Linked DNA regions of Coturnix japonica. The protein of the gene in region 6 binds, or shares a complex with, the protein of the main gene of each other region. Links are inferred from orthologs where the notes say so. Each region holds a gene or a part of one and is shown on either strand. Other genes may lie near its edges. The genes, in order: THAP1, ZNF831, WDR5, KANSL3, RBL2, OGT and KANSL1.

Region 1 (4,216 bases), on a different chromosome or scaffold from region 6:
GTTTGGTGATGTGATGAGCCAAAATAAACAGCTCTCCCAGCTCTGTTATGAATCCTTCCCTAAATACAGGATGTTGCTAAGATGACAGAAAGCTATTCACACTTCCACCATCGCTGCAATAAAGTTCTGTCCTGCATTAAAGTCAAAGCCATGCAGTGAGAGCTGTCATATGGAAGGAGTAAGAAAATAGGACTGGGTGGCTGGCAGATGGGATAGAGCAGAACACTAAGCGAGCTCATTCCCACATCATACTGCAGGCTTCACCATACTGCTCCAGATAGGTTCAGACACTTGCACGGTTCAGAACAATGCATACCTGTCATCACTTGGGAGGAGGTCAAAGAGAATTCTGATTATTCTGCCCCAGAGGAACATACTTTATTCAGAAATGCACACATAATGTATACTACCCGTTTAAAAAAAAAAAAACAAAAAAAAAACCAAAAAAAACCCAAAAGCCTAAGAATGTCTCAGTGAAAGAGACACTGAAACCGATTTTTTAATTCCCTGTCCCCAACATTATTACTACAAATAAAAGCATGAAGATGATCGCATCTTCAATTTTAACAGCCACCAACTGTCCCCTCTTGAGACTGGAAGATCACATTATTAAGCTTCTTGCCTTAACATAAAGAACAAGTCAACAGTCAGATTGGGAAGTACAGATGTCATCCTTGTACAAACTACATTAGGCACAGGAACTGAGAACACAGTTCCACTTCTGGTACTGAGGGGAAGTTTCACATTGCTCAGGTATTACTGATCACTTTAAAGTACAAAACCAGCCCACTGCCTGTGTCAGTTCTCAGTTATAAGAAGTGGATGCTCCAGGTGTGTCCATCTAAATCACATACCAATATTCTAAAATGTCTGACCTACAGCTTTCAAACTTTTCAGCTAAGATGACAAACCAAAGACATAATGTGCAGAGAGAATTCTGCCCATGTTAGAAGCACGAGCAAAAATGGCATTGTTGCCAGACAGCTGCATTCAGACAGAGGCATGTATTCAAGAGCTACGCAGCACATGCTGTGTTACTGCTGTCACTGTGTGTCACAGAGAGCTCATCGTTCATACTGCTCACACGTCACAAGTGAGTTCTTATTCCTTCTTACATCCAGTAAATGGTTGTCAGACATAGCTAAAAAAGTATTTCAAGAATTATGATGCAAAAAATGCTGTATCTCAAAATCAGTATGAATTTAAAAAAAATGCTGTCCTTATTCACTACTATTCAATGTCTTGAAGATACACTGAAAGCTGCTGTGACATAAATAGTAGCACCACCAACTCCTTTTCCATAAGGAGCCACTGTTCTGTGCACTCATAAAGCCAGGTACTGCAATGAATGAGAGAATGTGGCTCAGAACTACTGCATTGATGTCAATATTAAATACCTTCAGCTTTCACACTGCAATAAGTTTTGCAAACAATTTTAAGTGACATAGGAAATATGTTGCTAAGATTGTGGGGAACCGTCATCAAACAGATCTTAGCACAAAAAGCAGACCTGAAAATGGTCCACATTTCACTTTATACCTTGTGCTATGTATGGTCTCTTGCCTATTATTTCCACTTTTCATTTTCTAGATGTTCCTTCTTTATTTCTGCATTAAATCGAACATTGTATACTGTGTGGAAAAATACAGATGATGCCCTGAGCATGAGAAAGGGTTTATGTTAGCTCTGGAACACAAGTAAACTGCCTAAATATGTTCAATATTCAACAGACAGGCACTAGTTTTATATATTGTCAGTGGTGGCCAACACATACTCTGGAAGATCAAGAAAAGTGGCTAGCAGATGGTGCTCTGAATTATAACACAATTTTGCAGTTAATGCTATTTTGTAGGAGGCTGGACTTTTTGGGTTCTTTCACAGGGGCATCTGGATAGTCCTACCTGTAGCCATGACTTAATAGCTCTGGACCTGGCTAACTAGAACAAGACACCTGATGTGAAGCTATAACATTATGCTGATGATTTAATACTAGCCTCTGCAACTCTATCTGCAATAAAGAACACAGCAAGCACTGTCTTCTGATTTACAGGAGAAAGAATGGGCCATCAGTCCTGAAAAGTCCCAGGGCCTTGTATTATCTGTCATATTTTTGGGATGGTCTGATTGTGAACAATCAAAGCCCTACCCAGTGCAGTTAACACCCAGATACAAATGTCAGCCTGCAGTTGTTACAACAGGACAGCACCAGTAACACAACTGCAGTGATGACAAATGGCCTTAATGACAGGAGAAGCTGCACAGTGCATTTCGGCACCTGGGGCTGTGAGCAGTGTGCGCTTACCTTTTCACTGGGCTCAGTGTAACAGAATATAGTGGGCACAGCATTTTCTTTCAGCAGCTTGTTGTTGCACTCCCGCTTGAAGCAGTCGGGCGTGAAGTGCTCGGAGCAGATGCTGCTGTACTTGGTGGGTTTGAAGTTTTTCCTTTTCACCGCCGCCTCCCATTTCTTGCACAGGTCAGGCCTGGTCAAAGGAAACCTGACAACAACAGCTATTTTCAGCGTTTCTCAAACTCTTTATTCACGCCGGGCCCACCATCCCAGCCCCTCTCCCGCCGCCCAGCGCCCCCTTGCGTCGGGAGGTCGCACACCCGCGGCCCTGTCCCCGCCCTGGCGCCCTGCCCGCCCCGCCCCGCCCCGCCCCACCCCGTCCCGCCGCCCGCGCTCACTTGTGGAAGGAGATGGGCTTCTCTTTGTCGTATCGGTTCCGGCAGCGGTAGGCAGAACACGACTGCACCATCCCGCCGGCCCCGCGGCCGCCGCCGCCCAGCGGCGCGAGGAGGGGCTCCCAGGTGCCGTCCGCTCACCGTGGGGCCGCCATCGTGCCCCGTCCCCCCCCGCCGGTGACCCTCCGAGAGGGACGGCAACGGGACGCGGCCTCTCCCAACTCCAAGATGGCGGCACCAGCTTCAGAGCAACTCTCGCGGTGCTACGGCGCGCCGCCCTTGCCCATTGGTGGGTCCTCTCATGGGGGGCGGGGCCTCGGGAAGCAGATCGTCCAATCGGAGCGGCGCTCTGCCTTGCTCCCGCCCCTCGCTCCGGAACTACCTCAGGGGCAGCTGCGGCGCGGCGGCAGAGCGCCCCCAGGGCGGGATGGGGTGCGGGTGTGTGTGGGCTGCTGGGCCCTGCTGAGGTGTTAGGGTGAGCTAACAATACACCGACGCGATGGAGTACAAAAAGTTAACGCGGAGTGCGCTCCGCCGTACCATTCCCTGTATTACACCAGCGACTAACAGCAGCGGGCCGTTCCCCCGGAGCGCCCCATGTCCCGATCTCGCTGTCCCGTGCGGGGCGGGCAGCGGGCGCTGGTGTCGGGAGCAGGGGTGCGGGCAGCGCCCTATGGCGCACCCACAGCGGGAGCAAAGGGCAGGAGCCGCGCGAAGCAGCTCCAGGATGGGGTCCGGAACCCCTCAGAGACACAGGATGGAGAGAAGGGCAATAAGCCGGTCTATAAGCGAGCGCCGAATTCGGAGCGCGGCCCCTCGCGGAGCCCCGCGCAGCCCCTCTGAGCCGGGGGCCGGCGGCGGGGAGCTCGGGGGAGGCGGCGGCGTTGGGGCGGGCAGACGGCGGGACCGGGGCGGGGCGTGGGGCCGGTGGCGCCGGGAGGCGGCTCAGTCCCCGCTGAGAGCCGAGGGTTGCGGGCCCCCGCCGAACGCAGCCGCGCCGCGACACACAGCCGCCGCCGCCGCAGGGCGGGCACCGGGGAGCGCCGCGCCGCGCCGCGCCCCGGCCGGCCGGCAGCATGAGCGGCGGGCGGAGCGGGAGAGCCGCCGTGAAGATGGAGGCGCCGTTCTACCCCGAGGAAGGGCTGGAGCTGCTGCCCGACTTCGTGCCGCTGCCGGGTTTCGCCGCCACCGCCACCGCAGGACCCGGCGCCGAGGCGGCGGCGGGCCCGAAGCTACTGCTGGGAGCCGGGAAGAAGCGCGACCTGCCGCCCGCCGCCCCCTCGCCGCTGCCCGGGCCCTTCGCCCTGCGCCCGCCCGGCAGCGCCCGCGGCAGCGCGGCCGCCCTGCGCCTGCTGCCGCCCTCCGCCGCTCCCCCGCCGCCCCCGGGCTCGGCGCAGGGCTCGGCGGGGGCCGGCGCCGGGGCGGCGGCGAACCGCGGCGGACCGGAGGCCGCGCTGGGCTCGGCGGCGGAGCTGCCGTTGCTGAAGCTGCCGCCGGCCGCCGACCTGGAGCAGCTGCTCATCCAGGGCGG
Region 2 (4,198 bases), on a different chromosome or scaffold from region 6:
TTATGTGCACTGTGTGCTCTGTGATAACAGTTTTGGTCAGATACACATTGTGTATTATGCATAAGTCCTTTAAATTGCAACTTTCATGACAGTTTGAAAGAGTAGCAACAAAATGCAATGCTTGAAGCAGTATCTTTGACAGGGTCCCATTGCTCACGTTGTATCTCATGGGCACTGTGCAGTGACTTTGTCAGCTGTAGCACTTCTGTAGCAATCGTCGTTTCTGCCATGGTATCATCAGCCACTGAGCTGCAGATAAAGTGGCATCTGAAATGTCTGAATGCACCTCGTCCCCCTCTGAGGACTAATCCACATGAACAATTATTGTGTAATAATTCTATCAGTTATCACAAATAGCCACATTTACACGTGTGAACTCTGAAGTTTAAATGTACAGAACTTGATTGCCTACAGAGCTCCCATTTGACCAAAGGAACACTTAGAATATGGTGCTTCACGTGATGTATTTCCCCACAGAACACAGCTCTATAAATTGACAGTCTCTTAAAGCAAGTATTAAAAATTTGGAAGTATTTGATCATAACAAAAAAAATGGAAAGCAGGATTAATGAGGGCATTCCAGTAAATAGGAGGGCTAAATATTACCCTAATAGCAGTAATGAATAATGGCTACTGATGTTAATGTGGCACTTTTGTATGTTTTTGCTAGACAGCAAGAACTGCCACCCTGAACACGAGTGTGATCCTCACGTATGTCAGGCCAAAAAAAAAGAAAGAAGTCCAGGAGAAAAGAACTTGAAGACAAAAATGTGCTTGAACAGCAAAAGGGAGAAACACTTTCATTAGGAGCAAACGTGGTTCTGCTTGCCAAAGAAATGCCAGTACAGGGAAAAGAACTAAAACACAAGGCATAAGTAATAGATCCCATAGGGAAGAGAGTCAAGGGCTGCTGAGAAAACACTGAGGCAATCATGACCAAAGTGTAGCTGGTTATGCATGCAACCAAAGTGTTTCACTAAGGACTGAATTTCTGCTTTAAAGTGCTCGTGTGCTTTTCATACCTCAGCAGCAGGGCTGTGCATGTAGGCACTCACCTGAGGAAAGGTGCATATGTATACAGGATAGTCGTAGCCTCAAGCTGTCTCCCATTAAAAGTTACAGACATTTTCTTTTTCTATAGCATTATATTTAATGTGCTTTAGGTAAGGTTGTAAGTGCTGAATCATCGTACAGAGTTGACTTGGGGCTCCACTTCATTTATACTTTTTAGTATTAATTCAGCATGAGCAGTTCTGGCAAATGACTGATTTATGCATTAATTCATAAGGATATTTCACAAACATCCCCCCCCCCCCCCCACAAACAAAACTTAATACTGAGAGAAACAACAGGCCAGCAAGTTGAGAATTGGTCCTAACGTACCTGGAGATAAGGTGGGAATGAAGGGAGCTTCATTTACTCCTCCATGCTCAAGTCATTCTTTTCCTGATAGCTGAAAGGATAAAAAGTGGAGGACGTTAATGCTGCATCTTCTATGAAATAAATGTTTTGCAGGAGGAGTATGAAGAATCTTTCCAGGTTTTTTAGATTGCTGCAGTAATGAGCTATAGTGTTTTCAGGCATATCATAAAAATGAGTAATTACAATTATGATGCATTTAAAAGCCATGTAGCTTTCAGAGGAACAGTTGCTTCGACTCAGAAAGTCAGGAAGGTTAGTTTTTTTTTACATATGCACAGACTACTCATACCAATTCCTCCATCTGTTTCTTGTTTGTCATAGAAAACAGATAACTTCAGAACTGCTGATGATATTCAGAAATGTTCTAAAAACCAACAGCTACATTAACTTAAACGTACTTTGCACAAAACAAGACTGGAATTTGACAGGGTCGTTCATCACGTAAATCAACTTTCGGATCAATGTCATAAACAATAAAGGAAAACATCAGTAACTGGAACTGTAGAAGCACATCACTGATTCCATGCCAGTACCACTCACATGGCTAAATCCATGTTCCACACCATTCTGCCAACTCAACTATATTTTTTTCTTATTTTCTCCATAAGCTTTTATGTAGTTGTGTTTTTTCTCAACACGTTGTCAAGGAAGCCCTACATTCTTGTAGCTCAGTATCCAACTCTTTATTGCTATAAACACAGCACGATGTAGGATTTTGGACTGATTGATGTACTTTCCAGTATGAAGAGATTCTTCTATAAGTTCAACAGGTTCAGAGAAAGATTTAAAGATTTGTTCCTACCAAGATATCAGGGTTTGCCAATTAACTTGACCTCTTATTTACCTCTGTCACAATTCCTCTCGCATTTTGTTGTCTTTGAGCAATTCTGAATTCCTCTAACAAAAATACTTTGAATTGTGTGAGAGGCTGCCAGCTAATGTTTCAGTGGTGATAATAAGGTTGAACACTACTTGTGTCCTTTCCCGTGCCATAAACTTACCTTTATCATTTTTACATGCCTTCTTGCTGGGATAGGAGGTACTATATGTGCTCAGAATTTACGACGCACTCCAAAGAACAACTATTCTTCAGCTCTCTGATGAGAGTCAGTGTCTGCTCAGCCCAGGGCTAGTTCTCTCTAGAGTGCAGCAGTCACATCCACACTGCACGGCACTTGATCTGTCTCAGGTTTGGCGCTTACTGCTGACGTGACGTGACCACTGTCCAAGTAGTTCTTTCATGGTTGTGTCTTCCTGGCAGAGCGCTTTCACCTTTCCAAGTGGTGTATGTTATTGGAACGGACGTGAATTTCGTATGTGTATCATGGTTAAAAGTATTCCTGTCATTATCTCCTTTGGGTTTCATGGAGCTATGCTTTCCTTCTGTTGTCAAGGAAACACCAGTTTTTTCCCCCCTTGCTCATTAATGTCTGCGTTTTTGTTTCCATAGCTACAAAGGATCCTTAGTGTTTTAAAATAGCAGTAATTGGATTACCTTAATTTTTTTAATTTGTTGGCACCATTAATGGCTCCAATTTTCAACAGCAGGTACCAAAACTGGATCAGTGGTTTTTCAGCTACTGATGTTGAGTGTCCCCTTGTCCTGAAATACTGGGTATGTGCTGAGAGAAATCCTCAGCATCCAACCTCAGGCTCTACACATGGTACACTGGTTTAAGTCATTGAATTCTCAATCTCTTGTTGTATTCAAATATAGTTTTCTACATGTACTAATAAGGTATATGCAAAACTGCAGAGATTTTGCTTATTTCTTCTCTTGTTACTAGTTGCTTAATATTCCCTCAATAACTATGTTGAAATGCGACCATTATTGTTTAATTAAAGTTTCCCTCACCATGTCTGTACCTAATGACCATCTATCTGGAATTGGCTGAATTTCCCAAAACCTGTTTGGCACAAAATACGAGCTGAAATTACTGAAAATAGTCTTTTCTTTGCTCTGATTTCTGATAGGAGCCTTCTGATATAAGTTCTATGCTGAATTTTCTAGGCATGAACCCCAGCATTTCACATATTCCTGAACCTTTGTATATTTGACTTTCCTTTCCTTTTTCCTTTTCCTTTTTCCTTTTCCTTTTTCCTTTTCCTTTTTCCTTTTCCTCTTCCTTTTCCTTTTCTTTCCTCTTCCCTTCCCTTTCCTTTTTTTTTTTTTTTTTTTTTTTTTAAATAAGAACACAAGCTAAAGAGGGTCTCCAGCCTAAAAGTAGTTACAAGCAAGCTGTAAGGAAAATGTGACAGAAAGGAGCTAGATGCTGATCACTATAAACAGGGAATTCCCATTAACTTAAAATACTAGTTCCTGCTTTTCATCATGGATTTTCTTGCATCCTTGAGGCAAAGAAACAGTATTACCATAGAAACAGTATCCCGTGTCATTGTGGGCCTTTCTGGTGCTGTGTGCTGTTATGGAAACAGACATCTTAACTGCTGTCCATGTGTTATCTATTTCAATCATTGTGTTTGTAAAGATATGTTATTAAACTATAATTTCAGGATCCATTTTAATAACAATGAAGTCTCTGAAGTCTTCAGCAATTTACAAAGCACCTCAAGGCTTCCCCATGTTAAAAACAGCATTAAAACAAAATGTACAGTAACAGTGCTCTCACAGCAGTTACAGGCCTGTCCAAATTTCTATCGTGTCCAGCCCTCCAATCACTTGTAAAACTACTTTGGGTAAGCAGATCCTTAACCTATATGATCTGTGAAGGGACACGTCCTTCCTGCATGTGTACGTGGAAATGAAAGGCAGAAA
Region 3 (4,256 bases), on a different chromosome or scaffold from region 6:
CAGAATCCGCGGCCTTGGGTCTGTTCCTGGCATTCTTAAAGACATCCAGAGGGCTCACACCAGCACTGAAAGCAGTCACTTCCCAATCATCTGAGACACTTATGGACTTTTCTTTCCTTTTCAGCATTACGGGAAGCTTTTCTCGCCCCCCAGAAGCCTCACAGACAGGTGTCTTTTCCAATGTACTTGGCAGATCACCAAGTTCAGGCTATTTGGAACCAAAAGGAATGAAAGACTTTGTGAGAGAGAAGCCTGCCAAGGCCCAGTCTTTCACAGAGAGGGAATTTGGACAGAGATCACATCCTGCTGATCCCAGCTGTGGCAGCATGGCCTGCGGAGCAAGAAGGACCCTCACAGATGACTCATAACCCACAAGTTCAATTTCATCCAAAGACAACAGGCTGTCCGTGCAGATTCTCTATTTATGACATTTGTTAAAGATAAATCCAGGACACTCAGAGGCTAAGGGGTTGCTTAGGATTACAATTACCATTTGTATTGGAAACTATAGTTTCCAGTTCCAGAAAGGTATCATTCAGTATAGATATAGATTAATATATATGAAATATCAGGCAAAAAAAGCTTCCACAACGAGAGGAGGCACAGTACAGAAATACAGGCTCTTGTCTCCTATGTGAAAGCAACACCTACCCTTATCACAAGAAAGCTGCATGAATGTATAGCATTACCCTGCTGATTTGTGGTATTTAGTCTTCTTTTCTTTCCAGAATGAAGACTATACACCAAGGCAAGAACTGGATTTATTCCCTAACAGCATAGGATGGATGGAGCATCTCTCACAGTTCCATGCCTGTATTTTCCCCCCATGGTAAAGGGCAGGGTTAAAGCTGCAGACTTCAGCTATGGGTTTCCAAGCTGGAGAAGGGCCTTGGCTTCATTACACCATCACTTTTTTCCTTTCTCAGCAGCCACCAGCATTTCTGGAGCCCGCAGATCTTCCTGTGTTACAGGGCCAGCACATAACACGTGTCTCTTGGTTTTCTTCCCTCTCACTGAAAGCAGTTCGGAAAAAAACCCACTGTTTTCCAGAAAAACACTGAAATTTGAGGAGAATCTGCATGCAAGCTAAATGGAAGCTAAATATATCCCTAGGCAGGGCTAGGCCGCACACCTACCCTCGGTATAACAGCATTACGTGGCCTGCTGTGCTGTTTACCTTACGGATTAGCTCAGTCTCCTCACAATATTGTGGGTTAAGCATGAATTTTCAGTGCTTTCGTTCCTTCATTCCTCAGGGCAGCGAGCACACACCTGAGGGATGGAGGCCTTCAGCACAGAGCCATTTCCAAAGGCGGGAAGCAGGCTGAAAAAAGAAGCGCGTGGCCCTTTAAGGCGCACGGCCCCCACTGATGCTTTTTGTCCCTCTGGCCGCACCGTAGCGCTCATGGGAGAGAGCGGCATTGTGCAGCCTTTGGCCTACATCGCGCATGCGCAGTGCCACATTCCCCGCCTGGCGGCTCCGGTGCTGCCGCCGCCGCCGTGTCCCCCCTCCGCCCCTCCCGAGGCAGGAGGAGGAGGCGGCGGTGCCGGGTGTGCACCCAGCCCTTCCCCTTCCCTCGGTAAGTCACTATGGAGCCCGGCTGGATGGGTTCCTTCAGCTCCGGCTTCGTGTGGGGAGCCGCCTCTCCTCCCTCCCCCACCGCCCTCACTCTGAGGCGAGAGGGGGCCGCGTGCGGCCTTGCATTGCTCTGTATGTGCATTGCATTGCTCTGTGTGTGCATTGCATTGCTCTGCAGCTCCGTTGCTTTGCCCTGCAGCTCCATTGCTTTGCCCTGCAGCTCCCTTGCTTTGCCCTGCAGCTCCGTTGCTTTGCCCTGCAGNTTGCCCTGCAGCTCCGTTGCTTTGCCCTGCAGCTCCATTGCTTTGCCCTGCAGCTCCCTTGCTTTGCCCTGCAGCTCCGTTGCTTTGCCCTGCAGCTCCATTGCTTTGCCCTGCAGCTCCATTGCTTTGCCCTGCAGCTCCATTGCTTTGCCCTGCAGCTCCATTGCTTTGCCCTGCAGCTCCATTGCTTTGCTCTGCAGCTCCATTGCTCTGTGCTGCTCCACGCCTCGCTGTAGAGCGTGCAGCCCTGTGGATGTGTGCACGCCCTATGTACGTGCACACACGTGGCTGTGTATCCTTGCAGGCTGTGTATCCTTGCAGGCTGTGTATTCCTGCAGGCTGCTGCTGCTTCTAAAGCCTTCGGGAAGTTTCTTGCTTACAAGCTGAGTTTACACGAGCTTCCCCCCTGGGTGTGGTGAGAAAGGGGTGTTTGCAGCCAGGGCCCTTTGAAGCTTGCCATGTGCTGCTGCTCAGGTTTGTATGAGGAGGTGCAAGGGGTAAGCTGTGTTGCTTGCTCAAGTTCCCATATAAGTTCAGGTTGAAATGCATTAGATCTGGATTATAGAGCTGGAGTTGCTGGTATTAACAGTAAGTAAGGAGTCTGTACTGTGCTTGTAAAGCTTGCAACTGGTGGCACTGAGCTCTGTGCCCTCCTGAGGACAAGATGTGCATCGTGGCTTGAAAAGTCAATGCTGTTCCTCTTGGATTTGCTGCCACAAGCAAAATGGATTGTGCTTGGGATGGGATATTGCAAATAGCAAAGGATTTGTAAATCCTTACAATGTGAGCTGCGGGTTATTCTGTTACACTGCTGAAATGAAGCTGAACTGCAGCGTGATTGTTCCCTCTGCAGCATCAGCCCTGATTGCAGGGTACAGCACAGCACTGCTCAGGTTTTGCTACAGAAAGCAGATCTGGTGAGGTTAATGCAGGGCTGCTGTTAGGCAGGGGGATCTCTCAAGCAGGGATATGGTGCTCACAGCATTTAGGGGGAAGGTATTAGACCAAAGTACTTGAAATAGGAAATGGAAAAATAAAACAAACCTGGTGTGGTTTTAAGCTTTGGAAATGCCTTATATATAAGGTGTTGTATTTGCTGTGTTGTACAGATGTTTCAAGGAATATAAGATAAACCCACTGCCTCTAAGAGCTACTCTGCTTTATTTGTAGTGATTGGTACAAAACACAGCAAAAAACGCTGTGCAGGAGCTGATCAAAGTCTTGTATTTGGGTTCTTGATAGACCACTAATAGACCTGTAGGCATAAAATGGCATGTTGCTGAGCAGGCGTACAATATGTTTCCTCATCATGTTTTCTGCAGACCTGCAGTTAAGCTGATCTTGTTCCTTTAGCTGCCTCTGATCCTTCTTTGATGGTTAATGTGATTGTTTGCTTTTTCTTCCAGGGTTTTGTTTCTAGCAGCGCTGTTCCTCTCCCCGTGGCAAGGGCTGCCTTGTGAAGCAGCACGTTCATTCTCCCCCTTCAAGCACCGTAGGTCTCATTTGCCGGCTTCAGAACCATGGCAACAGAAGAAAAGAAACCAGATGCAGAATCCACCAAAACACAATCGACTCCTTCCTCCTCAACCAATCAGAGCAAGGTGTGTGTGGGGAGCTCTGAACAATGCCTGCGTAAATGCACATGGTGCATACCTGCACGTGCACCAGGCAAACAGCAATTAGAGAACTGAATCAAGTATGCATTAAGAACTTCTTAATACGTCTGCCTCTGCTGTTGTATGGAGAGGGAAGTGTGCTGAAGGTTGTAGGGGAAAAGCAGGCTGAGTACAGCTTAGTGCTAGGTTGATTATTTGGTTGAAATAGAGTTTTAAGGGGCCTGGGGGAGTTGGCTTGTGGTTGCTTCTGAGCAAGGAATAGAACTACAGGCATTTCATAGTACTATACACAGAGTATAAAACCATCACCAGAGGTTTTATTTTAATCTCAAAACACTCTGTGCTCGAACTGTTGTGTTACTGTCATCTGTTAGTTGCAGGCTTGAAGGGAATTCAGATCAGGATGAGTTTGGTGGCACGTGGCTGTAATGTGCTTCTGGCTCCAGTGGGGGCTTGTTGAATTTGGTGGGGGGAGAGAATGTAAATGGTAGAATCTGTTCAGGTGAATGTATGTATTCATGTGTGCTGATCTCGTCTGATACTGAGCTTGTCACTGAGAAACTAAATTGGGAATTTATTCAACTCATTCATATGTATTTTTCTTCCAGCCTGCACCAGTGAAACCAAATTATGCTCTAAAGTTCACGTTAGCGGGACATACGAAGGCGGTATCATCTGTAAAGTTTAGTCCTAATGGAGAGTGGTTAGCCAGCTCCTGTAAGTATTGCTTTCTTACATCAACAGAATGCAAATACGGGCCTTGTAGAACTACTTGTCTTAACTGACTGGATGGAGAAG
Region 4 (4,158 bases), on a different chromosome or scaffold from region 6:
GATCAGTTTGGTGTCCCAGTTCACACTAGCCAGTGCTTGGTGGACTCTCCGAGCACATTTGTCCACTGCTATCCTCCTCAGGACTGGTTCATTGCAAGCCTAGGATCCAGGACATTAAAGGAGAATAAAAACCATTATGGGAAAAGTCAAACATGCCCTGTTCACCCCAAACCACAGGAATGTATCAGCTCCAAGTACTCTGGCAGCAAGCAAGGGTCAACATCCCCTCAATAGGGACAAAATCACACCTCAGACAAGCCCAGAGTTCCCTGTTTCTTAAGGCCTTACAACCCAAAGGCCAGGACTTTCCTTGCTTTGCTAGGGAGGACTGAATAAAAACACACAACAACTCTGCTGGAAGGTAGAAGAGCAGCAGGGAATAAGAGCTCTTACCCCTTCGTTGGCCAAGCGAGCCAGCCTGTCAGACTGCAGTGCTTTGTGAATCTTGTTAAATAGTTTGTTCTGGGCCATCGTCCAGCCCGTCCTGGAGAGAAAACCAAAGGGGTAACGCTGCTCACAAACCCATCCCAGTCCTTCCAGCTGCCACATGCTCCCAAAGCAGGTAAACAGCCCCAAGCAGAAGCAACAGAACCCAAAAATAAGACCAAAACAATCACTCTCTTTAGCACAGGTTACCTCCCTACTCCTCCAAACCACCATTCCTCCTCATGTCAAGAGTTCAGATCGACTAACCATGCTTACAGGGAGGGTTTACAATGGTAGATCTGACTCACATCCTCTTATTTTTAACTTGACAGCATTGTATTATGGCTGAGATGGGGATCTGTGTGCCATCTAACAACAGTGTCCCGAGCCATTGCCATTCGTTACCTGTTCACATGTTCCTCCCAGTCATCTGGGGGTGGAGGGGCATCTGCATCCGTGCGAGCAAACATGACGTGCCTCTCACACTCGTTCATCACGCTGCGTGCCTTCTGGTTGTCATAGAGAGGCACCGGCGTGGCTGTCACCGTCTCGACATCAATGGGGACATCTGCTTCACTGCAAGGAAAAATCATGCTTCAGAGAGAGGGGATGATCGCTTTGTACTCCCACACCTCAGCCCCTCCATCATGTTGCAGCCCCCAGCCCCAGAAAACTGGTAATCACAGCCTGAACCTCTGATTAATCAGCTGAGACAAGTGTCAGGTCAGCTGTGGGAGCACAGGTGAGAGTAATTTAGCTCCTGGAAGGGTTGGAGCTTGACTCCACCTCCTCTAGACCTCATTTAAGGGCTGACCACCACTAAGGCAGCATCTCTTGGAGACTGCCTCAGCATTTCCCAGCAAAGGCATCCATATTGGTGAGTCTTTCCTTATAAATAACCTTTTGAATATCTGTTACCATCTTTGTATCATTCCACCTTACACCCACAGACCCCACAACCCGCTCCTGTGTGTCCCTGGTCCGCATCTCTCACACACCAGCCTGGCTCTGATTGGGATCCCTCCCAGGACCCTCCACATAGACCTCTATATGGCATCTGCACCCAAAACCCCTCACTTCCACCTCAAAAACAGCCCCAAAGCCTCCTTACAGACCCCTACATACCAACACAGATCCACCCCGCTCCCCAACCCCCTCAAAATGCCGCTCATTAAGAATCCCAGGACCCTCTTCAGAGTCTCTCAGACCCCCAAGTCACAAACTTTCACCTCACAATCCCCCAAACCCCACTCAGAGACCACCCCAGAACCCACCTCACAGAGACCTACAGACCCCTCAGACCCCCAGATCCTAACATTCACCTCACAAACCACCCCAGGCCCCATCCCACTGACCTCTAACAGCCCCTCAGCCCCCCAACCTGACACCTTCCATTCACAAACAACCCCACAGAGGCCTACAGCCCCCTCAGCCCCCCAGACCCCAAACCTTCTCCTCACAAACCACCCCAGACCCCCAACAGCCCCCAGACCCTCTATAGAGGCCCATTCTCGACCCCAAGACAACACTTTCCCCTCAGAAACCAACTCACAAAGGCCTACAGCCCCTCATAGACCCCTCAGCCCCCAAACCTTCTCTATAGAGGCCCATTCTCAACCCCAACACGACACTACCCCTTCAGAAACCACCCCAGAGGCCTACAGCCCCTCATAGAGCCCTCAGCCCCCCAGACCCCAAACCTCCTCCTCACAAACCACTCCGGACCCCTAACGGCCCCTCAGCCCCCAGACCCTCTATAGAGGCCCATTCTCGACCCCACAGAGGCCTACAGCCCCTCATAGACCCCTAACAGCCCCCAAACCTTCTCTATAGAGGTCCATTCTCGACCCAAACCAACACTTTCCCTTCAGAAACCCCCTCACAGAGGCCTACAGCCCCTCACAGCCCCCTCAGCCCCCCAGACCCCAAACCTCCTCCTCACAAACCACCCCAGACCCCTTACAGCCCCCAGACCCTCTCTAGAGGCCCATTCTCGACCCCATAGAACCCTACAGCCCCCCATAGACCCCATAGACCCCCATATCTCCTCACAAACCACCCCATATCCCCCCATATCCCCCCATATCCCCCCATATCCTCACAGTGCGGTGCCGGGCTGCCTCCTTGGGGTGAGGAACAGCATTCGGGCCGGTCGGGCGGCGCTGGCATCCGGGTGGGCGCTCCAAGGTTTGGCGTAGCTGTGATCCAAGCACACCAGGTCGAGCTCCCGCTCGTGAGCCGACAGCTGCAGCAGCAGCGAGGTGCCCATCCTCCTCGCCGACCATTGCAATTCACGATCTCGTTCCCCGCCGCGATGCGCCATGACACCCCCCCGACCCCGGCCGCCCCGCGGCGCGCAATGCGCATGCGCCGCCAGAGGGGGGGCGGGGGGAGCAAGGCGCATGCGCAGAAAGGAGAGGCGGAGGGAAGATGTGGAGAGTGGATTAGAGCGGAGCGGAGTGGGATGGGAGGAGACAAGAGGTGGAAGTGGATTATGGTGTGGGCGAGGAGATGCGTGGATGGGGGACACGTGGGGACAAATGGATGTGGGGACATGGGGACATGGGGGTGTATTGACATGAGACAGAAGGGTGTGGGACATGGGGATGTGGGATATGGGCACGTGGGGACATAGTGATGTGGACATGGGGACACACGGAATGGATAGGATTGAAAACAGACCTTAAAGATGGGTCATAAAGATGCCCACAGGGACGTGGGGACAAATGGGTGTGGGGACGTGGGGGTGTATTGACGTGAGACAGAAGGGTGTGGGACATGGGGACATAGGGATATGAGGACATGGGCATGTGGGATATGGGCACGTGGGGACATAGTGATGTGGACATGGGGACTTATGGAATGGATAGGATTGAAAATGGACCTTAAAGATGGGTCATAAAGATGCCCACATGGCCATGGGGCACAGGGACATAAGGAGGGACAGGGGGATGTGGGCACACTTATAGGGTGCAGTGACGAGTGGCACGTGGATATGGGGACACACAGATACGGGGGGTTGGTGATACATCACACAGACATAGGGACACATTATGGGGACAGCTGGACACAGCCACACGGTGACACAGCTCCTGGGTGACATGTGGGCATGTGCCCCCCCCTCAATGCATTCAGGAACGTGGCAGCACCGTGGTGACAACGCCATGGTGACACGGGGACACGGCCATGCTGCGGCTGCTGGTGGGCAGCGCTCACCTCCCGGCAGCCACCGGCGCAGGACCCGGTGTGCACGTTTATGCTCGATTCAGAGGTACTGATGGGGACAAGGGGGACAAGGGGATGCTGAGGTGGCTGTCCTTGCACTGTAGGGTGGCATCAGTCACCTTCATGTCATTGTCATGGGATGGGGTGGCACTGAGTGACCTTATGGGATGGGTCATGGGATGGGTCATGGGATGGGATGGGTCATGGGATGGGATATTAGTGGTTGCATATGGGAATGGCACATGGGGACATTGCCACCCTCACCAACCCTATGTGCTGCCCCCTGTCCCTCCAGGTGTCCCCAGGAGCACCCGAGTGGTGCCAGCAGAACGCAGTCCCACATGGAATGAGGTGAGGTGACCCGGAGGTGGCCGACAGCACCATGGGGGCACATGGCCACCCCACCGACCTCTGTCACCCACCCCACAGACACTGGTGTGGCCTTTGGCTGCGCGTCCCCTGCGCCCCACTGACAGCCTGGCCCTGCGCCTGCAGCTCTGGGGTCAG
Region 5 (3,498 bases), on a different chromosome or scaffold from region 6:
CAGTTCCAGGAGCAAGGTAGGCAGACAGCACCCAGACTGCACTGAAGAAACAAACCCTTTCCTCCAGCAGTTGGCTGTTACCTGTCCTGCTACTGCTGGGAGTCAGTTAATGAAAAATGGACTGCAAATGTTTGAGCTTCAATCAGTACCTGACTTAAGCAGCATTTTAAAAACACTTGTAAAAGTAATTCTTGTAATTCTGATTTCTGTAAAGAATATTTCAGAAATAGGAAGAGAAGCTTCACTATTTAAGACTATGACTTAACAGAGGCAAGAATAGTAATTTTTTTTAGAGTGAGTAGTTAATGAAGCGCTGCCCCGTTACCTGACACCCTGAATGTCAATGTCTGGCTGAGGTTCTTGTGATTAAGTACATCATGAGCCTCGCAGAACCCAGCTATGTGCTATTTTGGTGTTTGTGCCATCAGATCAGCCCGAGCCTTTGACAGATGCACACTGGGTGTAGCTTTTGCTCTTATGAAGCTTTTTTTCCACACAAGCCTTATTATGAGTTCTTTATTGAAAAATACACTTGCAGTGTTTCATACAAATTAATGGAAATGGTACAGAATAACAGAATTGTCTGACAAGTTCATAAATATTTTTACAGAAACATCTACACCGCTGCTCCACTTCAGCCCTTCTTACACAGGTAAGAACTGAAGATGCTTTTATTTTACCTTAATTGATTTTACTGTGGAATTAAGTCTCAAATCTTTCCATTATTCAAAGGAGCAGGAATGAATGAGAACGTGGAGCTTTTAAGTTCTGCTTCCTTACAAAACCTTCTGGCATCCGTGTGTGCTAAATTTTACAAGTACAACAGCATTGTCCCCAGTTGTCATTAAAGATGAGTCAACTGGCACAGGGCAGTAGTTATTAGGAAAGGTCTAAGCATACCAACAGGGCTGGTATTGTAGAATTGATTAAAATTTAAACAATTAGTATGTCTAATTAATATACGCACTGCTTTCTTATACCATTAGCAGGGGAGAGATTTCTCCCAGGCAGCCTGATTCTGTCCATTAAAAAAAAAAACCCAGAACCTCTTCCTTTGTCCTTTATAACCACTCAGAAGCACAGTGTGCACCTTGAGGAGACTGAGGCCACCTTCCTTCTACTGAGGAAGGGAGGTTCCTGGTTCTGACTCTCAAGCAGAACCAGCTGAAGAAACAACAGAGGTGTATAAAATTCCTTGACCAAAGCCCACGTCCCTGGCCTCCTGCATTTGTTACTGCATGCACATAACGTTAAAATGAATTCTTAATGCCATTTGCTGAAGAAGGGGAGCTATGGGATGTCACGTTGAAAATAAATACAAGAATTGGATTGTTTCCGTGAAGAAAAAAGGCTGAAGTCAGCCTTTAAAAAGATATTCACATTTAGAAAGTGCCATTGCAAATATACAGCAACACTAATCTGCCTTAAAAACGATGCTTCACAGCCCTATCCAAAGTGCCACCTTTTGAACACGAGTTCACCTTAGAACATTGCACAGCTAAAAATGATGCGTGAATGGAGTTAGCTACTTCTATACAACAAGGTGCCCAAATGTTAAAGCAAAACAACGTGATGGATTTGGGGGCACACAAAGCATCCTGAATACAAAAAGAATCCATTCAGACAGCTTCCTTCAGCGCTCAAAAAGCTTATTCCTATCTTCCCTTTCCAAGCAGAAAAGGCTGGATGTTGCCAGACTATTGCTTATAAATCATTCTTTTTATGGCAGTACTTAATGTTTTATTTTTTCCTTTTTTTTTTTCCCCCAGAGGACACATTTGACTATGAGTGCCTTGGTACAACGCTCCCATGTTTGATACATATACAACTTCCTATTCCAAAGCTGAAAATGGTCAAGCATTGATGAAAACACTGTAAGTACACTGGTTGAGCAGATGGATTTAAATACCTGTTACAAGGCAGAAAGCTGTATGAGGGATACATTCTCCAAGCAATACAAAGCTTTGAACTGCCTTCTGAAGCCAAAGCCAGCAGGTAGATCACTTGCCTTCTGATCAGCTTTACAACAGACAGAGTGGAACTGCAGGGTTCAGAACGCATCCTCCCCATCCCCTGGCACTGGGGAAGCTCTGGCAGGCAGAGACTCTGTACAGCCCAGCAGGGACTGGTCAGCATGGCCTGGCAGGAGGAGCCTGATGCCTGTGCGGTCCTGCTGAGTCCGTGGGATGCTCTGAGCTGGCAGCCTGGCACAGCAGCACAGAGGTCCTACCTGTGCTGAGCCCCAGCCCTCAGTGGGACCCTCGGTCGTTGGCTACATCTTGCAGGCGGCGTAACAGAGCAGTGTGGTTTTCCTGACAGATCCGCTTCGCTGGCGCTTCACTGTCATCTTCTAAGAGAATGCCTCTCTTCTTTGTTGGAGTTTCTCCTGTTCTAATCATGCTGTTAATTTCCTTTAGCCTCTGGGGAGAGGTGGAAAAAACAATCTCATTATTGTAGCAACCAAAAAAGTGATGTTTTTGCTTGTCCCGTTACTGCAGGCTTACAAATGCCTTATTTTTGGAGCTGTGCACTGTACAGTGCTTTCTGTAACAAACTAACCCTTTTGACCATTGTACTGGTCCCACTACTGGAGTCTTTATCAAGGCTTCTGTGTAAGATTTTTGATGCTCTGCTGGTGCACATGGAGCTGGAAGGCCTTCCTGCTGTAGTTATGACATGTTATCCTACACCACAGGTACAGAATTCCTATCCTGAGTGAAGACATTGCGTGGAGAAGGCTTCTACTTAATGGTGGATGACTGGAGGTCATGGGATTCAGTCTGTTCCATGTTCGCTTGGTGAGTCTTTTTGTGCTAAGAGACCTTTTGCCTCACTACGTAGATAAGAGGGAATGACTACTTCATGTTTGACTCTTAGGGCCTTCATGCCACACATCCCATTATGTAGTGTCACTGATGTACCTTCTGGCTCTTTCATATGTACCATTATCAAGAATAGCTTTTAAAAGTACACAAGTACCTTGGATACCTCACTGCTCTCCAGCTTCTTAGATCTGTAGACTGACAAGCTGGAGACAGTCTGGTGACAGAGTACAACTTTAACAGTGTACACTAAAAGGAGTGTTGAGCAGTCTTTTCTAGTCTAACACATCCCAACAGAAAGGGCAGAACTAAGGATTTATAAAACCAAACTAAACGCCTTTAGTTCTTACCTTGGATGGGCTGCTGCTGAAATAATAGAATATTTTCTCTCGATGAGAGGGAGCAGGCACATTTTTGTGTGGCGAGATGTACACCGGGTGGTTCTGAGACAGCTGGACTCGGCGAGGAGAGCTGATTCTCACAAAGGGGTAGGGAGAGAGCGGAGGAGAATCTGTCTGCTCAGGAGGAAAAAGAAAACACTCAGCTGCAACGTAATCTCAGTGAGCCACCTGTAGTACAGTTGATGTAAGCTGGTCATCTTAAACATAGTGTAGATCTTTTTTTTCCTCCACTACAGCCATAGCTTTCCTTAGAACACGGCAGGATTTGTCATACA
Region 6 (4,103 bases):
ATGAAAACCTCCCTGTAAGAGGGGCTGTGCTGGGTGGGGTGAATGGTCTGCCCAGCCCAGTGCCTCAGCAACTGGCTGTGTGGATGGGCTGTGCTCTGATGGTGGTTGTTGCACCGTCTGCCTTTCTATCTGCAGTGAAGGAGGCAGATAGAAGCAATCAGTTGCTTTTCCTGCCCTGAGTACATCCAGGACAGAGCAAAGGTGCTGGCAGTGTGTTGGTTCAGGAGAGCTGGGTTTTTGCTTTACACAGCTGACAGCATGGAAGCGCACAGTGGTTCCGAGTTGTTCCTCAAGGATCTCAAGGACCTTTTACAGGAGCTCACTGTGACAGAATATGAGCATACTTGTTTGTTTTTCCTAGTTACGGCAGCTACGAAGAGCCAGACCCGAAGTCCAACACAAGGGATACGAGCTTCAGCAGCATCGGGGGGTATGAGATCTCCGAGGAGGAGGAAGAAGAAGAAGAGCAGCGTTGTGGACCGAGCGTGTTGAGCCAGGTGCACCTGTCTGAGGACGAGGAGGACAGCGAGGATTTCCACTCCATTGCAGGGGACAGTGACCTGGACTCGGATGAATGACCTCCTGAGCGCTCCTTGTCCCTGCACTGACTGCTGCATGAGCTGCTCTCAGCTCTGTGCTTTCTGATGGCCCACATGGATCCGAGGAGCAGCGCTGGTGCTGCGTTAACACTGTGCTAACGAGGAGCAGCCTGCTCATACAGCGTTGCATATGATGTGAATATTGTTTGAATCAGCTGTAAAACACGAGACTGAGGGCACGGTGCGCAGTGGGGGGGTGGCCTTTATTGTCTCTGGAATCCCACTGAAGACTGTTAGTTCTTCATTTTAACAGATGTCAAATCGTTTCTGTTGGATCCGTCTGGGGAAGAGGAAGGCTGCTCGGAATAAAGCACCGTGCGCTTTGTATGATAGCTCAGAGAGCGGTTCTTTATGGCTGGGAGGTGAGCTTAGCCTTCCAGCCCCCTGCAGCGAGCAGCCGCCCCGTGTGTTAATGCTAAATACTAATTAATTCCAGTCCCCCCTTCATCCCCCCGACCCAGCACGGCCGGGCTGCACGTGCCGGTGGAGGCGACCAGCGGCGCATGCGCAGTGCGGCGGCGTTTGTCGCAATGTGTCGGCGCGGAGCGATCTCTCAGCTGACAGAGCTGCGCTGCGGCTCCGTGTGATACACATGGAGGGGGCGCTCGGCGGAAGGAGACGGCTGTAGTTCCGCTGTATCACTCCGCCGCTCGGCGCCCCGCGGGCTGGCTCCGCCCGGACTATTTGTCGCGGGGATGTAGGTCCGGCCGCAGCCATTCGATCGACGCCGCCTCCGCCAGCGCCATTTCGGGAGCCGCCGCCTCAGCGTGCCGGCAGCGCGGGCAGCTCTGTCGTTCTCCGCCTCCTCAGCCCGGCGCCCCGCCGGCCCCTGTCCCGATGGCGACCTCCGTGGGGAACGTGGCCGACAGCACAGGTACCGCCGGGCTCGGTGCGCTCCGCGGGTGCCGCTCCCGGCGGAACTTTCCAGAAGCGGCCGCGTGGGCCCGGGCCGGGCCGCGTGTTGGAGGCGCTGTATTTGTCCGTCAGCCGCAGCGGGGCAGGGCGGACAACGGGCCCGAAATAAACGGCGCTGCCACGGGGGCGGCCGGGGGGGAAGGGGCGGCGCGGAGCGGAGCGGTGTGGGGATGTGGGTACGGGAACGGGCGCTGTGCTGGGGGCCGGGCCGCTGCGCTGCGGGAGCACCAAGGTCACCGCTAACAGCCCCCAGTCAGCGCTGCTCCACGGCCTGCACTGCGGCCCGGCGCTATGCAGCTCCGTTAGAACAGGGGTAGATAACTGGCAGGAATGCTGGACCGTGAGGATGGGGAGACACTGGTTCATGTTGCCCGACAAGGATGTGAACGCCCTCTGCCATGCAGCACTCAGGGCCGGGTTGGGTGGATGGGGCTGTGAGCAACCCGGGCTAGAGGGGGGGGGGGTGTCCCTGCTATAGCAAAGGGTTGGGACTACGTGATCTTAAAGGCTCCTTCCAACCCAAACCATTGTGTGATTCGTTACAGCAGAGATGTGGAATTCCGTAGGGCCAGATAGGAAGTGCTGGACGAATGGGGCCCAGTGCACGCAGAGCGCTGGGAGCGTTGCCCTTCCCTGCCCTGAGCTTAGGAGGGGAAAATAAGAGGTGCTTGCAGTACTCAGGGCTTTTAACAGCAGGTCCGAGTGGTGTAAAGGCACCGCCTGAAGGGCTGCTCTTTCTCTATTCTAATGCAGAACAGTCCGGTAACGACTGGGTGCTCACATGGGTTGTTTTGTTTGAGCCCGGTGTTTGATGGAAGTAGTTTGTCTCCCCCCCCGTTGCAGCCCAGCCCCGGGAGCTCGCTGCTCTTCCATCAGATAGCATTCAGCCGCTTTGCCAATGGAGGAATTGTTATGCGTGGCAGATAACGCCGGCGGAGTGGAGATTTAAAGGAACGCTGCGCATTACGCCTTTTTCTTTAAGGGCTTTCACAAGATACGGATCTACTGGCACAGCAGAACTTCCTTTAGTTCGAGTCCTTTGAAGTTTGTGTCTGTGGTCCTGCATTTCCCTGTGAGGTTTTTAGTGCTTTTCAGAGCTAGGAAGTGTTACATGCCCGGTCTGGGGATGGGGGGGAGGGGGCAAGGAAATTCATTGTCTGGCTCTGCTGCCTGTATGAGCCCAAGTAACTGCTTTACAGTAGGATTATCTTAACTGCATTCCGTTAACTTGAAAAATACATGAAGTTGTGTAACCGTAATGGCTGTTTTTGTTTCTAAACTGTTAACTGGTGAAATCCCACAGCAGCAGCTTGGGGCCTGAAGATGTGAGAGCACAAACCTCCACCTGCTGCGTTGTTTTGTGTCATCCCAATCGTTTTCATCCTTTAGTTTTATACGCCGTTTCTTTTTTGGTTTGGTTTGGTTTTGGTTGGTGTTTTATTTTCGTTTAGTTTCTGTTTGGTTTCTTTGGTTTGGTTTCCATTCTCTAACTTTTTGTTTTCCCCCCTTGAATGTTTTGGTGATTCTCCAGAACCAACGAAACGTATGCTTTCCTTCCAAGGGTTAGCGGAGTTGGCTCATCGTGAGTATCAGGCAGGAGACTTTGAAGCAGCAGAGAGACACTGCATGCAGCTTTGGAGACAAGAGCCTGATAATACTGGTGTGCTTTTATTGCTATCGTCTATTCACTTCCAGTGTCGCAGATTGGACAGGTAGGATGGAGATGTTGCGTTCAAGCTTCTTTTGGAGTTTGTGCTCCTCATAGTATCGAGCACAGTTAATAGAAGTGCTTATCTGACATTGGCTTTAGAACTGAATGCAGATGCTGACTTGATTCTAGCAGTAATGACTGGCCAGAAATAATGTTCTTGTTTCTTGAGTTCTTTTAGGGTAAGAGGAATACAAGTGGGAGTTGCTAGCTTTGCAGCAAGCATCAGATAGTGCTGTTACTCTCATGCCGTTTTCGTATTGTATGCTTGCATGCCCCTGAGTTATTTGCACATGCAAACAAGGAGCTTTCATGTATTCCACCTGCAGTGTGCGTTTAATACTTTAAGTTCTGAGTTTGATTGTTTACAGTGAGATGGCATTGCTTAATTAAGAGTTGTCACTGCTGCTTCTGCCTGCCTCTCCCTGACCTTGTGTCTGTCAAGCCTCTGGGACTTTAAATGTCTGTGCTGGTGAAGGAAGTAATGACTTGTAACTGGGATTTACTCTGTAGGCTTCTGATTGAAGCTGTAGTAATAATTTAGATGGGGGAAAATGAAACAGAGGAGAGCAAGACAGAACTTTAAACCTATGCTTGTCTGCTGTATTCTGTTTCTGAAAGACTGTAAGTGAAACACTGCATAGAAAAAAGCATGCAAATGTTTGAAGAGGCTTAACAGAGTATTTGTGATGGTTTCTCAATCCACGTAGAGCTCAGGTTTGAGGAGGAGACTTGAATCCTGCTGATTGAGCTGGGTTGTCTTTCTCAGTAGAACCTGCAGTGGGGACAGGGGAGGTGGTTAAACAAGGAGAAGCTACATGTAAGGTAGCTCTGTAAGCCCACGTATGTTGGCTGTATGTTTGCTTTGCTTAAGCATGAAT
Region 7 (3,500 bases), on a different chromosome or scaffold from region 6:
CTCAAAAGGGCAGGAATGCAAACTAGCAAAAGCAGTTCTCCAGTGCTGGAGGATGGTGTCAGGGTTTGAACCTTGTGCTGCTTGTGGAGGTTCTGGCAGTGGCTGCAGAAACACCTTGGGCAGGATGCTGCAATGTGAGCACATAGAAATACCCATGGACCTGCTCATGGCTACAGCTGGAGCACTGCAGGCCGTGGTACAGCCCTCTGTGTGCCTGCAGCCTGTCAGCTATGGGGCATCAGGCCACAGGGCTCGAACGTTTTGCATTTTTAGATGTGAAACACTCATAAAATAGGCATGGAAAGGCTGTGTGGGTGCGGAGCTCTGCTGGTGTTTAGTAGGTGGCATCATGCATCAGTGCCACAGCAGGGCAAGGATGCTGCATGTGGGCAGGAACCTCTTTGGTGTGTGGAACAGGAAGGTGAACATTGCACTTGTTGCTGAGGGCTATTGGAGGGATGGTTCCCAAGTGTTGATCAGAAGTTTATGTCTCTTTAAGTGTGACCGTGTCTGTGAGTGATAGAGGAATAACGCTCTGCTCCTTGTTGTTCTCTCCAGTCTTCAGCCTGGCCTGGCAGAACACGCTCAGGGAGATGGCCAGGAAGCTGAGGAGCTCTTGCATAAAAAGCAGCGGCTGAATGTGGTCTCTTCAGCTTCAGATGGGACGTGTGTGGCCGCCCGCACGCGCCCGGTGCTGAGCTGCAAGAAGCGACGGCTGGTTCGACCCAGCAGCATTATGCCCCTGTCCAAAAAGGTGAGTGCTGCTCCTTTGTGCTTTACTCTCTTTTTCTGCTCTACGTAGCACCAGCTGTGCACCAAAGGAGCTCCCACACCCCATGGGTTGGTCTGCTCTGCTTTGCACAAAGACATCTCCGCTCTTTGGGAGTGTTTGTGGTTACAGAGAGGGGAGGAAGAGCAGCCCAGGGGCTGTGGGAGAAGTAAAGGAGAAATGAAGAAGCTTTTGGTTTGCTGCAGGTTTCTGTTAGCTGTCATCAGTACTGGATTCTGACAGAGGGGAGGGTTCTTTTCATAACCCACCCATCCTAAGGTAAGCTTCAGGACAGGGGGTTCAGCCTGCTAAAATGGGAGCAGCTGAGTGAAGCAGGTATGGGAAACACAGATACTGAATACAGGAATTAACACAGACCCATTATTAATACATTATTTTCTGCTCCTCCCCACCGTCCCTTTCCCACATGCAGAATTCAGCTCTGTTTATTCCCTGAGCATCCTATGTGAGGACAAACCATGCTCCATCCTTCTTAACTTCCTTCAGGAGTGCCACGAGCTGTCAGTTGGAGAACAGATGCTTCGAAATAGAATAAGGACGGGGTTTTGTTTTTTTCTTAGGATTGCAGAACTATGGATGGCACAAATCCACTTAGTTGTGTTTGAGTCACAAGTGTTTCAAGTCAAACTTAATTACCACAAAGTTTCAGGGTTTCTCGCTCTGTGGGGGATAGGGTTTAAAGGAGCTCAGAAAGAAACATTCTGCTGAGCAAAACAGATTCTGGGCCAGCTGAGTTGGCTGAAAAGTGGGAATAATCAGTTCGCTGGGGGTATTTCTGTGCTTTTACCCTCATTGAGCAGGATTTGGTTCATTTTCCATCACTTCTCTCATTCCAGCTCTCTCCTCCAAGCTGCTTGCAGCCCTTCCCAGTTGTACTGTTATTTGCTAAGGCTTAAGGATATTATCTCTTCCATCATTCGAGTCATTAGTGGAAATTATCTGAATAATACCAGACTCAACAGACTTCACAGGATCTGATTCGATGGATCCTTCCATTTCAGTGGGGGGTTCATCGGTTGCTGGCTCTGCCTGTTTTACATCCAGTTGTGCATCTGCACCACGATGGTTTTTTATACAGAGGAGGTTTATATAAAGTCTGTGAACTGAAAGTCCCTCCTGGTTTAGAGACCAAGACTGAAAACCTTCTCACTCGCTGTAGGTGTCAGCTCTTGGCTGGTGGTTCCCTGTCTTGTCTGAACTAGAAGGTGTTTTTCCTCCCTGACAACAGAATTGTGCTGTCTCATGGTTTTGTAAATGAGGTTTTCAACCCAGATAAACACTTTTAATCAAGTCTAGGGGATGCTGTGTGCAGGCAAGCAGTCGTTCTCGGCTGTGTTGATGTAAGGTCCAGACTGAATCAACAGGTTTGCTGCAGGGTGTTATAAGATCAGGGTTTATTTGATGATCTATCAAAGGGCAGCATGCAAAGAGAGCCCTGTGGGATGCTGAACTTCTCTGTGGCCTTCTCCAGGTCCACCGGAACAGCCTGGCACGGTGCAGCTGTGATGTGAACCCCTCGTGTGCTCTGTGTGGTGCCCGCAGCTCCGCGGCGCTGGAGATGCAGTACGATGCGCCGCTGCTGGAGCGCCTCTCGCAGCTGGACTCCTGCATCCATCCCGTTCTGTCCTTCCCTGATGGTGAGCACAGCAAAGCAGGGCTGTGGGGAGGGGGTTGGGGGGTCGGGCTGGGTGCTGACATGGGACACCAGGGAGTGTCTGGGGCTTGAGGAGCTGTGCAGCCTTCACCCTGAGGAGGTGCTGGTGTGATGGATGCAATTAAAACCATGCTCTTCATCTGCACGTGCTTTTAGGAGCTGAGCATTTGCTGCAGCAGAAGAGAGAGTGTTGGCTGGGGCCTGAGAGTCTGTGCTGGGTCCTGTGCTGGTGTCATAAATAGCATAATCTGAGTTGGACGGGACCATAAGGATCCTTGCATCCAACTCCATCACCATCCAAACATCAGAGCATGGTGACTGGTGGTCACAGACCTCAGCAGAGCTTATTTACCTGCATGAAACCACTTGTGGATTGGTGGAAGCTGCAGGATGTTTCTTTGACCTTGTATGGAGTTGTCCACGATCTCGAGTGGGTCAGAGGGTACAGGAGGAAGGGACGTTCCCATTAGGCTGCTGCTGCTCTGACTAAAACCTATTGGCTGCATGTACTGCTCTCCACCCATCATCGTTTCCCTCTGACCACAGCGAGGTGCAGATGATCTGAGTGGGCACTCTTGCAGGAGAGCTGAGCTGTCAGCAGGCCAGGGCAGAGGTCTCCCAGTGGAAGGGGATGGCTCCTGGGGGGAAGGTGATGTTCTGCTGCTCGTGCTTGGGTCGGGTCAAAGCCTTGTGCTCACAGATGTAAATCCAGCTCTGCACAGACTTGGTGCAGCAGCGTGGAGTGCACGGCGGAGCTTTAACATCTTCTGAAGTTCTCTGTCCCTTCTCTCTTCTCCTTTTTCTGCTCGGTGTGATTTGTAGCTGGGAGTTTGGGGATGATGTAATAACCTTGGTGGAAGGATGTGAGCCGTGCTGAGCTCGGCGCGGTTGCCATCTGCCGGTCCTTGGATGCTCTGCACCGTGGCTGTGACCATCACAAGGGCAGCACAGTTTGTTTGCCTTTTGTCTTTGTGTTTCTGCCTCCTTTCAGCCTGGCCCATCCTTCCCCAGATGTGTCAGCTGCTGACGGTGGAATGTATTTCCAGGAAGAGGCAG

What was found.
Region 1: OGT (region 6) and THAP1 share a complex: the UniProt entries of both Homo sapiens proteins name them as parts of the THAP1/THAP3-HCFC1-OGT complex. The link is inferred for Coturnix japonica from reciprocal best matches to the Homo sapiens genes OGT and THAP1.
Region 2: the proteins of OGT (region 6) and ZNF831 are in contact, whole or in part, in a crystal structure (PDB 8FUF), measured with the Homo sapiens proteins. The link is inferred for Coturnix japonica from reciprocal best matches to the Homo sapiens genes OGT and ZNF831. Residues at the interface, in NP_858058.1 of Homo sapiens: Phe723, Ile734, Met779, Ile787, Ile790, Asn791, Arg792, Gly793, Leu808, Ala809, Thr831, Arg832, Ser833, Gln834, Tyr835, Gly836, Leu837, Pro838, Glu839, Arg877; in NP_001371283.1 of Homo sapiens: Phe937, Ser938, Pro939, Lys940, Tyr941, Leu942, Leu943, Arg944, Leu945, Pro946.
Region 3: OGT (region 6) and WDR5 share a complex: the UniProt entries of both Homo sapiens proteins name them as parts of the NSL complex. The link is inferred for Coturnix japonica from reciprocal best matches to the Homo sapiens genes OGT and WDR5.
Region 4: OGT (region 6) and KANSL3 share a complex: the UniProt entries of both Homo sapiens proteins name them as parts of the NSL complex. The link is inferred for Coturnix japonica from reciprocal best matches to the Homo sapiens genes OGT and KANSL3.
Region 5: the proteins of OGT (region 6) and RBL2 are in contact, whole or in part, in a crystal structure (PDB 4XI9), measured with the Homo sapiens proteins. The link is inferred for Coturnix japonica from reciprocal best matches to the Homo sapiens genes OGT and RBL2. Residues at the interface, in NP_858058.1 of Homo sapiens: His506, His508, His509, Asn567, His568, Pro569, Tyr642, Thr643, Lys644, Gln849, Phe878, Val905, Ala906; in NP_001310537.1 of Homo sapiens: Thr417, Pro418, Val419, Ser420, Thr421, Ala422.
Region 7: OGT (region 6) and KANSL1 share a complex: the UniProt entries of both Homo sapiens proteins name them as parts of the NSL complex. The link is inferred for Coturnix japonica from reciprocal best matches to the Homo sapiens genes OGT and KANSL1.

The regions. Positions count from the first base shown.
Region 1 is NC_029547.1:47,539,757-47,543,972, forward strand, and holds the start of THAP1 (THAP domain-containing protein 1), read right to left. Parts: upstream 2,801-4,216; 5' UTR 2,760-2,800; coding exon 2,689-2,759; intron 2,499-2,688; coding exon 2,303-2,498; intron 1-2,302. Other genes in the region: transcription factor jun-D-like, read left to right, coding at 3,762-4,216. UniProt on the Homo sapiens protein: DNA-binding transcription regulator that regulates endothelial cell proliferation and G1/S cell-cycle progression.
Region 2 is NC_029535.1:9,813,754-9,817,951, forward strand, and holds the start of ZNF831 (zinc finger protein 831), read right to left. Parts: upstream 2,801-4,198; 5' UTR 2,424-2,800; intron 1,454-2,423; 5' UTR 1,384-1,453; intron 1,245-1,383; exon of another isoform or gene 1-1,244.
Region 3 is NC_029532.1:5,717,758-5,722,013, forward strand, and holds the start of WDR5 (WD repeat-containing protein 5), read left to right. Parts: upstream 1-1,456; 5' UTR 1,457-1,580; intron 1,581-3,248; 5' UTR 3,249-3,362; coding exon 3,363-3,443; intron 3,444-4,066; coding exon 4,067-4,175; intron 4,176-4,256.
Region 4 is NC_029537.1:1,115,180-1,119,337, reverse strand, and holds the start of KANSL3 (KAT8 regulatory NSL complex subunit 3), read right to left. Parts: upstream 2,801-4,158; 5' UTR 2,750-2,800; coding exon 2,529-2,749; intron 1,003-2,528; coding exon 832-1,002; intron 485-831; coding exon 394-484; intron 100-393; coding exon 1-99. Other genes in the region: FER1L5 (fer-1-like protein 5), read left to right, coding at 3,613-3,697, 3,947-4,002, 4,081-4,158. UniProt on the Homo sapiens protein: Non-catalytic component of the NSL histone acetyltransferase complex, a multiprotein complex that mediates histone H4 acetylation at 'Lys-5'- and 'Lys-8' (H4K5ac and H4K8ac) at transcription start sites and promotes transcription initiation.
Region 5 is NC_029526.1:4,008,850-4,012,347, forward strand, and holds the end of RBL2 (retinoblastoma-like protein 2), read right to left. Parts: intron 3,338-3,498; coding exon 3,173-3,337; intron 2,799-3,172; exon of another isoform or gene 2,696-2,798; intron 2,421-2,695; coding exon 2,250-2,420; 3' UTR 501-2,249; downstream 1-500. UniProt on the Homo sapiens protein: Key regulator of entry into cell division. Directly involved in heterochromatin formation by maintaining overall chromatin structure and, in particular, that of constitutive heterochromatin by stabilizing histone methylation.
Region 6 is NC_029519.1:2,160,103-2,164,205, reverse strand, and holds the start of OGT (UDP-N-acetylglucosamine--peptide N-acetylglucosaminyltransferase 110 kDa subunit), read left to right. Parts: upstream 1-1,303; 5' UTR 1,304-1,436; coding exon 1,437-1,473; intron 1,474-3,045; coding exon 3,046-3,226; intron 3,227-4,103. Other genes in the region: TAF1 (transcription initiation factor TFIID subunit 1), read left to right, coding at 362-578. UniProt on the Homo sapiens protein: Catalyzes the transfer of a single N-acetylglucosamine from UDP-GlcNAc to a serine or threonine residue in cytoplasmic and nuclear proteins resulting in their modification with a beta-linked N-acetylglucosamine (O-GlcNAc).
Region 7 is NC_029542.1:2,357,173-2,360,672, forward strand, and holds part of KANSL1 (KAT8 regulatory NSL complex subunit 1), read left to right. Parts: intron 1-558; coding exon 559-754; intron 755-2,261; coding exon 2,262-2,427; intron 2,428-3,500. UniProt on the Homo sapiens protein: Non-catalytic component of the NSL histone acetyltransferase complex, a multiprotein complex that mediates histone H4 acetylation at 'Lys-5'- and 'Lys-8' (H4K5ac and H4K8ac) at transcription start sites and promotes transcription initiation.